Linked DNA regions of Mus musculus: all the other regions are reported to be linked to region 2. The links are microRNA targets in miRTarBase. Many come from high-throughput screens and were not tested one by one. Region 2 holds a microRNA gene; each other region holds the end of a gene's coding sequence.

What was found. Region 2 holds the annotated microRNA mmu-miR-3470b (UCACUCUGUAGACCAGGCUGG, at 1,417-1,437, shown strand). A microRNA usually pairs through its seed, bases 2 to 8, with sites in the 3' UTR of a target mRNA and lowers its output. Matches are read on the target gene's strand: a 7mer-m8 pairs with bases 2 to 8, a 7mer-A1 pairs with bases 2 to 7 and ends in A, and an 8mer does both.
Region 1: the mRNA of Sgpp2 is a reported target of mmu-miR-3470b. Seed matches in the 3' UTR shown: 8mer at 1,994-2,001.
Region 3: the mRNA of Cd300a is a reported target of mmu-miR-3470b. The part of its 3' UTR that is shown has no 7-base or 8-base seed match.

The regions. Positions count from the first base shown.
Region 1 is chr1:78,416,541-78,420,954 of GRCm38, reverse strand. It overlaps Sgpp2 (sphingosine-1-phosphate phosphatase 2), which reads right to left. Exons shown (of 5, transcript NM_001004173.2): 5 at 669-4,080. The coding sequence ends at 3,529. It also overlaps a transcript of Farsb not described here. Among named protein-coding and RNA genes, the nearest start is that of Gm51634, 62 kb to the right of the region's middle.
Region 2 is chr16:44,012,469-44,016,882 of GRCm38, forward strand. Mir3470b (microRNA 3470b) reads left to right here and starts at 1,384; the gene lies at 1,384-1,509. It overlaps Gramd1c (GRAM domain containing 1C), which reads right to left. Exons shown (of 17, transcript NM_001359085.1): 6 at 454-569.
Region 3 is chr11:114,900,269-114,904,682 of GRCm38, forward strand. It overlaps Cd300a (CD300A molecule), which reads left to right. Exons shown (of 7, transcript NM_170758.4): 7 at 861-1,678. The coding sequence ends at 1,022. Among named protein-coding and RNA genes, the nearest start is that of Cd300a, 12 kb to the left of the region's middle.

The sequences.
Region 1 (4,414 bases), not on the chromosome of region 2:
CACCCAGTTCTCACATGGTGACCATGCAGGTTTGTTCTGGCTTTTCCCTGTAAGAGCCCGGGCAGTGCCTCTGTCCAGCTGGTCCCTAGATTCCGAGTATCTTCTTGTACCTTCTCACCCCACTGCCTGGGCAACCTGGTCTCCCCTCCAAGCCTGGCTTCTGCAATGCCCTCTATAAAGACTGCACTTGCTCTTGTTCTCATGTCCAAATTGATACTTGTCCTGCTGCCTCCCATGGCCTGGTCTTTTCCACACAGCCTTGGCGGTTCAGCTCTGACTTAAAATTTTATGAACCTGTGTCTTCACTGACCTGGGAGAACTCCACAGAAAAGGCTAGAGCTTTGACATCCCTTAGGTGCCCAGCGCACGAGTGACAGTATACACAGTTCTTAGTATAAATGTGGCCTCACTTAACCCTGTACATAACTGGGGAATCTAAGAACAATCTTCTTTGAATTGCGAATCAAGGTGCTTAAAGCCAGACAAAGCATCACATACAGTTGGGCAAGCTTGACTGGGGTGGAGGGGGTGCGAGGAGTGTTTAAACACCTCAGCCATTTATCTACGAAAACATTCTAGTTCTCTAAGGCTAACCTGGGTCCCAGACTGAGACCTTGTCTCGAAAAAGAAAAAAAAGGAAGAAAAAAATCCACAGAAACAAAACATTAGATTTTAAAGCATTTAATAATCATACTCAAACAAAAAGATTTTATTTTAAAAAAGAATAAATTTACATACACTGCATAAGCAAGACAGTTGAAAGCTTCCAAAATAGAAACCTGAAACACGTGGTCTGAAATACCACATGCTGTGATTATCCTGGGAAGATGAGTTGTGTATTTCGGCAAGAAAACCCAAGTTACCAGGCACAGTGTCAAGTGGTTTTAGTGGCTATCATGAAAGGTATTAGGTTAAGGGTCTTGCCTATGTCTTTTTCCAGCATAAGGTACAGGTCTGAGCAAAATGGACAGCGGCTTGGAAGGCCGGTTCTACATTGATGACTTGGCCCAGAGTAGTAGCAAGATGAGAAAAGGATGTGTTATTCTTCCTGATTCCCAGAGGAAGCTAAAAGCTTTGGTGTCCGCATAGGACAGGCCTAGACTTAACAGGGACACATTCTGGTGACCAGGCCAGCCCAGTGCAAGAGGGCCTCTGGACTAAGACAAGCTAAGCCAGCAGGGGGCACTCTCTCTCCAGAGAGAAACTGACAAAGTGTTTTGAAAAGAGACCCAAGAGAGACTTTACTAGGATGCCGGTGCTGCTCTGTAAGAAGTGAGTTTGGTGAATTGAGAAGGCTCACCAAAGGCAAAATGTGATCAAGCCATAGCATTTAAAATCAGTACTGTAGGAATCCAAAACTAAACTTGGCATCTACAGTGAATACTTTCTCCCTCCCTTTTCTTGTATCAAGTCCATCCAAGAGTGACCAGTCATGACAAATTCTTAGGACACTGTTTAATGTTGTGTGGCTAATATATTCATCCTCCATCTAAATTATGTAAACACAGCCTCGAATGCATTCACTCAGTTGTCAACTTCCATGTTGTTGGGCCTTAAACTTCCTAATCACCACATCCACCGCTGTGACAATACATACAGCCCTTCTGTTGCAGATACACGTAGAAGAAGCTGAGCCTTTTGTCATTAGGCTTCAGACAAACCAACTAAAATCACCTGTGTGAATATAAGCCAGCATTACAAGCTCTAGTTTGGTAGCTTGGGGGTTGGGGGAGAAACAACAGAAACAGCCATGCACAACTGGAGGCTGGCCTAGGCAAGCACACCTGTAAACCAGGGCTCCAGGCTCCCCAGCCACGGAGCTGAAATACTGTCAGCAAAACCTGGCAAGTGCTAGGCCTTTGCATTCCTGTTCTTAACTATGACGAAGAAGAGAAGAATTGTCAAGTTAAAAATGGGCATTTTGTTAAGAATTATTCTTTTTGTTTGTTTTTCAAGACAGGGTTTCTCTGTGTAGCCCTGGCTGTCCTGAAACTCACTCTGTAGACCAGGCTGGCCTTAAACTCAGAGATCTACCTGCCTCTGATTCTAGGATTAAAACCATGCCCAGTCCAAGAATTATTCTTCAGGAATTAAAACACTACATTCAGTACCAAAGAACATCATTCCAACCATAGACCATGGGACATACTCAAAATCAGAGAAAATTTTGGCTTTGGTGTTTACACTGAATGCAAAAGTTGGAGCCTTAGCTCTTTTGGGGGTCAGAGGGTGATTTGTCCAGTACGAGCATATAGTGAAGCACTGGCTTACTGACACCATCCCTCAAATGACCAATGACTACCACTTACTCGAACCCTTCGGGATGTCATTGCATCTGGTGCTTATTCCGAAGTGCTGAGCCCAGGGAAGGAGGTCTCTGCTGTGGGTGTCCTGCACACCTTCTTAGCTCTAAGGAGATAAGGAGGACCATTCTAGGGCTAACAGGAGCTACAGTTAACCCGCTTATTCTCTCCAAATAGGCTGCAGCTTTTCTTGTGCTAAAATTCTTCAGGTCTAAACATCTTAAAGTTCTTAACTGAAAAATCTTGCCAAGAAAGAGGTAAGAAGGAGTGGGAAGACTGAGAGGGAGTCCCTGATTTTGTCTAGAGGGTGAATAACTGAAGACATTTATACAAAGTAGCCAAGCAATGACGAAAGGTAAAGTCACAGGGATGAGGCAGTGTGTGAGGGCTTCCAGAGGACGAAGCTCATCCATTCTTGTGCTGATTCAGTGTCTTCCAGGCTTATGTGGAAGCTCAAGCAACTGAAGGTGTTGAAGGCGAGGCAGGTGAGGGCAGGAGTCGCAGCGTGTCCTCATTTCCACCTGTGAGGAGCTGGCAGCCCGTCGTGCGTTGCTTACACTAGTGTGGAAACCGAATCACTGGATGCTGTGGACTGTCTGCAAGGCAGATCAGCATCTTGCTTCACTAATAGTTCCTGGAGGAGATGAGTTGGTAAATAAAGCAAGCTCTTCCGGTGGCCTCATGGCTCTGCTACTATCTTCAGTGTCCTCACAGGAAACTTTATTTTAGAATGGTCTCACCACCCACTCAGGGACAGTCCAGTCTGATGACAGCACAAGAAGCCATTCTGTCCAATGAGTTGAGATTTTCCATGGTGCCACCCTTACTCCCAGACCAAACTCCAGTTTGGGGATTGAGACTCGGCATCAGGCAAGGTTGTAACTGAAAAGACTATCCTGCCTTCATAGTACCTCAAGTCTACTGGGTCTCTGGAGCTTGGTGGGGCTTGTAACCATTGCAAACTGGGCCACAATTCCTGTCCACCCAAGACCGTGTCCCAAGTCCATGTAACAGAAAGGGGAGGGGTGATCTTGCAGAGCTCAGCTGTGGTTTGAGCCTGGTGTCCTTACAGGTGAATCCCACAGCAGCCGTATCTATGTTACATCAGCAAAACAAAACTATGACTTAGGGTTTCCTTAAACAGGAGGCATTGAGATTACCTGAATCGACAGCGTTCTCCATTTTGCATCTCGCATTAGCGGACTAGTTCCTAACTGTCTTGGGCTCAGAGCAATCCCAAAAACCTGTGCAACATTGGCACAAAGGTTGTGGCACAGATGCCAACAGATGTGTAGGTAACAAACTTGTAAGGGACTTCAATCTCTAGTCTTCGCCTGGCCTCCTTGTTCCTAGTAACCACCTTGAACCATGAGAATAATACTTGCAGGGAGAGCTTTTGCACCAGTTGGCGAACCAAGAGGATCAACATGATTCCCACCATAAATTTGGTCAGACCTAAAACCAGCATGTCAGTGGTAAGGGGTGGGATGTTCTGAATGACAGGAAGAGATGGGGTGGGCTTGGACACGAGCTGGAAGAAATGGTTGATCCAGAATCCCAGGGTCACTCCAGCCCCAGCAGCCACGATGGTGGTGGTGTCTGCCCTGGTCGGGCTGTAGTAGTCAGACACAGGGTAATTGTAGCACAAGAGGAACGGTACAACTATGACACACACAGGGAAGAGGGGGCTGGCAGAGTCCAGGGAATCGATGAGGGTCCAGGCAGGGTAGGTCAGAGCAATGAGGACTGCAGTGATCAGAACGCCACCCAGGATATCCTGCCAGGAGAGAAAAGAAAAATGCCTGCTTAGCACGGGAAATGCAATCTCTACATGGTTTTACTTTATAGTATGTATGCAAAGGAAGTATAGATCTAAGAATTTAAAGTGAAGATAGGAAATACTATACATAGTCACCATGCTATGGTGTCACATACTCTCTTACAAGAGCACTTCTGTATTTCAAGAAGAAATTTCTGAATTTCTTTCTGAGTGAGTGGTTGATAGTTTCGTTGCCATGTAATCTTATTATATTCCCCTTATGTCACAAAGAATTGTCATAGTCTTTACAGGTGGCACCACCCTTTTTTGGCAGATAGTGTGAAGGCTCTAA
Region 2 (4,414 bases):
TATAGCAGCACATGACCCTGACATTACCATTGCTTGCATCCCCCACGGCACGGTCAGCTCCTTTGACTAAGGTGATCGGTGTCTACTGAATGTGGGACACATGCCACGGTGCTAGGGAGACTTTGAGGAAAAGTCATGAAACCACCCTAACCCTCAAATTGCTCTAGTGTCTCCTGTGAGATCTCACCAGCCCCTGCTCCAGATCCTTAATAAAAAGGCTTTCTAGTAGTAAATTCTAAGAGTCATAGCCTCATCTCTAACATTTCTTCACGTCCCACACGTGCTTACCAACTTAGCAAATGAGTCTCTTCTCTCCCAACTTGCACTCTACCAACAAGAGGGCAAACCGCACCAAACGATGAGTTCAAAGAAATTCAGAACTGAAACGACCTACAATGATCCCACTGTGATGGGCCATAATGCACCTTGACACTCTACGTTGCTTCACTGTACCTTGGCTGCACATTTTCTTCAACTGATAACAAGTGTTCCATTTCTTCAGCGTTTAAGCCTAGCTCCGTGCCATAGTTCTGCTGGAGCAGTTGCCAGAACTCCTGTCTGGTCAGGCTCTAAGATGACAGAAACATTGCGTGACTATTGGAAAATGCAACAGATAACGTAACTGTAATTCAAAGCACAAAGGCCAAAGTCAGAGGAGCCGTGGTGTGAGCAGTCAAGGTGTGGCTCGGATAGATCCTGGCCTATTTGTCTCCCTATTTTCTATTTTTAAAAAAAAGGGTTAATGGGAGCTGGGCATAATAGCTTAGTGGTTGAGAACTGCATATCATCCACAAGGCTCTGCAGAGCTCCATCCCCATCGCTGAAAAGGAAAGGTTAAATATGCCCATTTGATAAGAGACATTCAAGAGGAAGTCCCATGGATAAGAGCACTGGCTGCTCTTCTAGAGGACCTGGGTTTGATTCCCAGCACCTGCATGGTGGCTCACAACCACCTATGACTCCAGTTCCAGGGGATCTTCTGGCCATCTCAGGCGCACGAGTGGTGCACAGACCTATATGTAGGCAAAAATGTAAGAATAAATAATTAAACCAAGAGTTAAATCGATAAACAGATAATCGTTTCTCACAGGGTTTAACCACATTCTCAAGGCCGATCTTGGGCTTGAGCTATTCTCCAAAGAAGTTGAAACTAAAAGGCACATTCCACTTAGAAAATGGTGGGTTTTCAAAGTGTGTATTAAAGAGGCTACTGTGCAGAAGTACACTTCAGTAAAGATGCTTAAAGTGATTTTTTTTCTATAAAAGTAAGTTACTTATCATTTCTGCTAATTACTGATCTGAAATCCATACAACCTATGATCACAATTCAGAGTTGTCCTAAATGTTAACTCAGAACCAAATTTTTTTTTTTTTCCGAGACAGGGATTCTCTGTGTAGCCTTGGCTGTCCTGGCACTCACTCTGTAGACCAGGCTGGCCTTGAACTCAAAAATTCACCTGCCTCTGCCTCCCGAGTGCTGGGACTAAAGGCATGCGCTACCAATGCCCGAGAACCAAAACTTCTAATTCACGATTGTATCTGAATATTTTAAGCATTTTTAGAACTTTGCACACCAATGAGCTCCAAATTACATTTTCCTAAAATATAAAATGCAAGAAAACAACCTTCAGAATACTAATTTACTTTTAGTAAATTCTAGCTTGCTTCCTTTATAGACAGCATGTCAGTGGTAAAGTTACCAAGTACAGCCGAGAAATGTACCCGTGGTTAAGAGTGCTTGCTGCTCCACCAAAGGACCAGTGGCCACATCCTAGCTCCCACATGAGGCAAGTCACAAACATCTGTAAATCTGTAACTCCAACTGACACACCCTTCGGGATTCCATGGGCATCACACACACACACCGACCCACTTAAAAAAAAAAAAACCTTAATCACCAAATAAAGCAAGCTGTAAACTATTTGGGAAAATAACATCATATCATAGTAACAGACTGGTCTCCGGGAACATTGCAATTAATTACATGATTAAGCAAGACAAGAGAGAGAGACAGCATGGTACTTGAAGCAACTGTCAATACGATCTTCCATCCATTCCACAGGTCTTTATTGGGAATGAAACCTGTGGCACCGCTCTAGATCCAAAGGGTATAAAAACAATCTCCGAATTTAGTACTCATGTCTGAAGGATACAGGGCACTCTTAAATCAGATGCACATGATCATGTGCTAATGGGCTGGAAGAGTCTATGGGATAGGGAAGTGCAAAAGGAGTTAATATTATTGAGGACCAAGGTGGCCAGATGAGGCTCCACCGAGGAGATAGGCTTCTGGGTAAGCTAGAGGACAGACGGATTCGTGAAGAAAAACTAGAAGAGATGGAGAGAAGACGACCAACCCATAGGGAGGGCAGAGATGGACAGAAGTAACATTAGTTATGAAGCTAGCAAGTAAGTCATCTCCTAGCCCAATCAGAGAAATGTTTCAAAGTTAAGAGGTTGAATGTAAAAATATATAATGGGGCCAAATGTATAAAGGCCCTGAATTCAGCCCCGGTGTTCAGCCCCTACAACAACCACCACCGCCTTTCCCTCCTCCCAGGAGCAGCTCTGTGTCCTGGTTTTTACTAGATGACTCTCCTTACACTTCATGGAACCAGGGAGCTTAAAAGGAAAATGGTCTGGACTTGCGGCAGCTATATCCCAGTTTGCCAAGATGACCACAAAACCAGCTGATGACAATTCAGATGTCATTATCTACACTTCAAAAATGTCAAAAATATTCAAAAACCTGCAATAAAGGAGGCAAGCTAAGAAAAACATGCCTCTTTGCTTCCAGCTGATTATGTGAACGCGGAGTAGAAATCCCAGGTTGGAGAACTCTAACTGAAAAATCACACATCTAGAAAACAAACTCTGCGATGCTCTCTATTTCCTACAACTGTCCTTTTAGCGGATGAAGTCTTCTCAAGTAGAATATCCAGAGAAGAAAAATATAAAGGCCCATTAGTGACAGTTAAGGATGCTCCTGTCCTTGGTCCTAAAGGGACTCGCCTTCTACCCCAGAGATTCTGTGTGGATTCTGTTTTCATAACAATAATTCATACTGTGAATTAACTAAGTCTTCCAGAGACATCATCATTGGAACCGTTTTCATATCGCAAAAGGATGGTTAGATAGCTTTACCAGAAGAAGGCGATTTTTCAGCACAACTGTGTTAGATTATTAACCGTTCACAAAAACTTTTTTTGAAATAATAGACGTTTCCGAAGATAAAAACTAAAGCAAACAAATGACTTGGTGGTGAACACTCAGCTTCCTAACGGTAAAAGACATGCAACTGGCGAGCAAAACCTGAGAACAAAATGCTATTTAAGTTAATTAGCAAGATAATTTCAACATACATTTTCATCCATTAGTTAAATGTAAATACATAATTGGTTAATGGGAAACAAAACAAAACTCATTTAATTCATGGTGCTAATTTGTTAAAAATGACTATTTCTGCAAGGTTGTCCAGCTGTCTCAAAAACGTGACTATTTACAATCACGCTATTCAAACATGCCAGTCTGATAGTCGCAACTTTTTCAGTATTTAGCAGCTGAGCCTTAAAAAAAAACAAAAACCGACCTAAATATTATTTGAAAGTCGACCACCTACCTGCAAAGGAGCGGAGCGGCTCTGGGTTCAGCCTGCAGATAGATAACTTGAGCAAAATAAAGATGAACCAAGCAGTAATCAGATAGGAGTCAAAAGTCAGCAGATCAATTTCTGGCCCAGAAAGCTTGGTATTCTAAGTACTCTATGGAGTCTTTATCCACAGTTAGAGCTTCAAAACTTTGATAACAGCTAAGCAAACTCGGTACTTCAGTTTCCTACTCTTTACGGGGCTCTTCGCCACGTAAAAGCCAGTGCTGTGTGAAGCTTCAGTTGTTGCTTCCTGGTTCTGAGCACCAGCCCTCTTTCCAGGGGGCCGGTCAGCCTGCAGAGCTGAAGTCACACCTCACTCGACAGGTTCCTAAGCCACGCCCACTGGAAGAGGCTAGGGAAAGAATGTTTTATTAAAGGGACGGTTCCGAATTTCTTCTACTGTACACGCTGATTAGCGACAGGGTGCAAATGGAAAGATCTTACATTTGCTCAAATAATGTAAAACACCTACTGCAATATTATTTTAACCCCACGTGAAAATTAACTATGTTAAAACTTAACCTCCCCATGACAACAGTTTTCAATTCAACTCTAGCGAGTCATTGATACCTATTCTTATTCCACATCAGCACTGACCAGTATTCGCTTCAGACTCCTGCCATCACAGCTAGCATAGATCCTATCCTGAGTACCCTAAATGGAATGTTGGGGAGTAGTCGGAAGAGCCAGCTCTTCAGGTGAGGCATTCGGCATGGCTTTCGTCACTGCAAAGTTTAAGGTGACGTCTCGATTACTCGATGACTC
Region 3 (4,414 bases), not on the chromosome of region 2:
CAGGCTCAGAGCCCTCCGAACCCTTATCTGATCCCCCGAGGGATGCCATAGTTTTTGACAGGAGATGGGGGGATATACACCACTGAAAAAGTGACTCATCAAAATGAGTCCTCTCTGACCCCATTCAACCAAGGCTGCAGCTCCTGCTCCATGGGGGATGACGATGAGAGGTTCTGTCCCACATCCATTCGGGATGACCCAAAGCTATGACTTCCTTTCACTTGTGCCAGTGTCTTAAAAAAAAAAAAAGACTCATTTATTTGTATTCCATGTGCATTGGTGTTTTGTCTGTGTGTATGTCTGGGGGAGGGCATCAGATAACCTGGAATGAGTTACAGACAGTCGTGGGCTGCCATGTGGATGCTGGGAATTGAACCCCTGTCCTCTGGAAGAACACACAATGCTCTTGACCACTGGACAGTCTCTCCAGCCCTTCATCAGTGTCTTTTGAGGATGAGTGATAGGCAGGGAACCCAGTGTCCTCACTTTCAGCAGCTCAGTGTCCTCATTTTCAGCAGTCCATAGTTAGATGGTACCTCGCCTTGCATCTGAAAGGCCCCTTCCTCCAGCATGTGACATGTTCTCATGTCTTCCCAGCTATGGGACCAGCAACAACCTGGTATCACCTGGTAGCTAATGATTACAAATCGGTTGGTTGGAAGCTAACTTCCTTTCCCCCTTGGGTCAAGTCAGCCTGTGACATCAGAAGCATTCTACCACCGTGGCTACTTCTGCTGGCCATGATATACCCAGCATGGGTACTTCCCACTGTGGCTTGACCAGGTGGGCCAATGAGGCAGTTGAGGTCCAGGGTATGTGCCCTTCTCCTGTAGCCATGAGTCTGGGGTCTCTCTCTACAGGCATTACCCCAGGAAGAGCTTCACTATTCATCCGTGGCATTCAACTCCCAGAGGCAGGATTCTCACGCCAATGGAGATTCTCTTCATCAACCTCAGGACCAGAAAGCAGAGTACAGTGAGATCCAGAAGCCCAGAAAAGGACTCTCTGACCTTTACCTGTGACTCCTTGTCACCTGATCCTCTCAGTGGTGACTACCAGGTTCCAAGGCTCCCTGCTGGCTGCTGCCCTCAATGTCATGAGCCTCAGTGGCTTCACTAAAGATGAGCAGGAGCCAGGGCTCTGTGGGCACAGTCTCATCCCACTGGCTCTCTCCTCTTAGCCTGTATTTTGTTCTGCCTCTGGGTGTGGAAGACATCGATGCTGCTCTTTTGGGGCTCTGGGAATTGACATGGTTCGTATAGAACGGTACTTGTGTTAGTTAGCTTTGTAGTGTCAGTCCAGGAAGAACATCTGTGGTCACTGGGAAAGTGGGGGACCCATGAGACTACAAAGGAAGGGGAGTCATGGAGGTACTAAACACCAACTCCTTCATCTCACAGAGAAAAAAACCTAAGCTCTGAGGACAAAAGCCTGGCCCGTGGCACCAAGGTCAGGGGCAAATTCCTCTGGACTCATTTTTATTTTTATTTTTTGTTTTTTGAGACAGGGTCTCTCTGTGTAGCTTTGGCTGTCCTGGAACTCACTCTGTAAACCAGAATGGCCTCAGACTCACAAAGATCTGCCTGCCTCTGCCTCCAAAGGTGTGTGCCACAATGCCTGGCTTCTCTGAATTCTTAAGTAAAAGATGAAATAAAGTTTATAATATCTTTTAAAAAAAGATTATTTATTTATTATATGTAAGTACACTGAAGCTATCTTCAGACACTCCAGAAAAGGGCATCAGATCTCACTATGTTTGGTTGTGAGCCACCATGTGGTTGCTGGGATTTGAACTCAGGACCTTCAGAAGAGCAGTCAGTGCTCTTAACCACTGAGCCATCTCTCCAGCCCTAAAATACCTTTTTAAAGGGAGAAGAAATGGTTTAAATGATGTCTGTTACATGCCTGTAGCCCCCTATTAAAGCCCAGCTTTGAAGTCAGAGGAGCCTTTGGGGTTCAAGGGGTTGGGAAGGACATACCAACTGCTGTTCTTGATGGAACACACAAGAGTGTTTTCTTACCAGGGTGATTTTAAACTTGCATCAAAGATGACTGTGTTTCCAGGCTGCAGTAGCTACCAATGGTTTGATCTGCCCAAATGATTTTTCTTACAACTCTTTTTTTTTTTAAAGATTTATTTATTATTATATCTAAGTACACTGTAGCTGTCTTCAGACACACCAGAAGAGGACCTCAGATCTCATTACGGATGGTTGTGAGCCACCATGTGGTTGCTGGGCTTTGAACTCAGGACCTTCGGAAGAGCAGTCGGTACTCTTAACCACTGAGCCATCTCTCCAGCCACTTCTTACAACTCTTAACACTGTGCCAGAAGCAACTCCTAGGGTAAGCTGCCCCCAGAGTGGTAGGATGATGGCTATTTGTGACTTCTTTGAATTTTTTTTAAAGACAGAATTCTTGCTGGGTGGTGGTGCACACCTTTGATCCTAGCACTTGGGAGGCAGAGGCAGGCAGGTCTCTGAGTTTGAGACCAGCTTGGTTTACAGAGTGAGTTCTAGGACAGCCAGGGCTACACAGAGAAACCCTGTGTCAACAAACAAACAAATGACGGGATTCTTTATAGCCCAGATTAGCCTTTGAACTTGCTGTGTGGTCAAGGATGACTTTTTAGTTAATGTTTTATTGCCGTGAAGAGACCCCATGATCAAGGTGACTCTTATAGCAGAAAACATTTAACTGGGGCTGGCTTACAGTTCAGAGGTTCAGTCCATTATCATCATGGCAGGAAGGGCTTTCTTCTCCAGCCTGAATCCTTTAGATTTCAGTTCATGTACCCCACCCTCCTCCGCCTGTGCATGTGCTCGTGGTATGCACACCCATGACTCATCCCCCCTTCTTGTACTAATGTTTTGAGACATAAAAGGGGAAACACACATACACGGATGGATACACGCCCAAAGCCAGGTTCCACGGTGTGTGGGAAATGTGTCAGGACAGTAGGGACTATGGGTACAGCAAACAGAGCCCTGATCTGCTCTCAGCTCTGTCCCAGGCCATAACCCCAAACCCACCAGTGGTTCTTTTCTCTTGAAAGAGCAGTGGGCACTGGGACGCGCAGATGGGACTTAAGAGTCTTAAGAGGGGAAGTAGGGATGCTGTGGCCAAAAATAGAGGGCTACGCCCATGAACAGCTCGGACACAAAGGTTTAGTTGGGTGACTAAATTAGACTGCCAACTAGGAGGGATGGGTAGGGAAAGGGGAGCCCTGCTTCCCAGTGTGAGTCACTCATTGTGGGTGGCCCAAGTGCCCAGTCAGAGGCAGTTTTCATCACCTATGGACATGTCTCTTCCTTCACTTTCTTCTCCTCATCTGTTTCCTCTTCCTGCTGCCTGGGCCAGATCAGCCCAAGGGCATCTTTCATTAATCTCTTCATTCCTTCCTTCATTCTCCCATTTATTCAACTATTCACTCACCTACTCACCCATCCAACTGTCCATCCTCCCAACCTCCCATCCATCCACCCATCCACCCATCCATCCATCCATCCATCCATCCATCCATCCATCCACCTACCCACCTACCCACCCAGCCATCCATCTATCCACCCACTCATCCATCCACACATCCACCATCCACCCCACCCATCTATTTACTCACCTACCCATCTATCCACCCACCCATCAATTCATCCATCCATCCATCCATCTATCCATCCATCCATCTGTCCATCCATTCCATATTTCATACACTCCCTGCAGAGCATTTAGGGACCTGCTTCACAACAGACAGAAGACTGGAAACAGGGAAGCATAGGACAAAACCCCTGCCCCACATAGACTTTTGTGTTTACAGGGATATAGACATGGCCTTCTCTATTCACCCCTCTGCTTTAGGACTGTGGGCAGGGAGGGGCACTGACTCAGATGCAGTCCTCAGTAAACAGTGAGTGGGTAGATGGATGGACAGATGGATGGGTAGGTAGGTGGGTAGGTGGGTAGATGGATAGATGGGTGTATGTGTGTATGTGTGTATGTGTATATGTATGTATGTATGTATTATGTATGTAACAGTTTCCTGCTAAAGAACTGAAAAGCTGAATGCTCCTAATTTATGCTAAAGAGTGGCCATCAGGGCTGGAGAGGAGGCTCAGTGGGTGAAAGTGCTTGCCACACAAGTGCAAGGGCCCGAGCTTGGTCCCCAGAACCCATATAAAAAGCTGGATGTGTGGTCTGCTCAGTGGGTGAAATGCTTACCATACAAGGCTGGTGACCTGAGTTTGGTCCCTAGAATTCATATAAAGATGGAAGGAGAGGACCAAGTATACAGAGTTGTCCTCTGACCTCCACACCATGGCACAGGAGCCCCTCTCCCACTCCCACAAATAATCATTTAAATTGTAAAAATAATAAAAAAATAATGTGGAAGTTGGTTCTGGTTCTTCCTCCCAGCTCC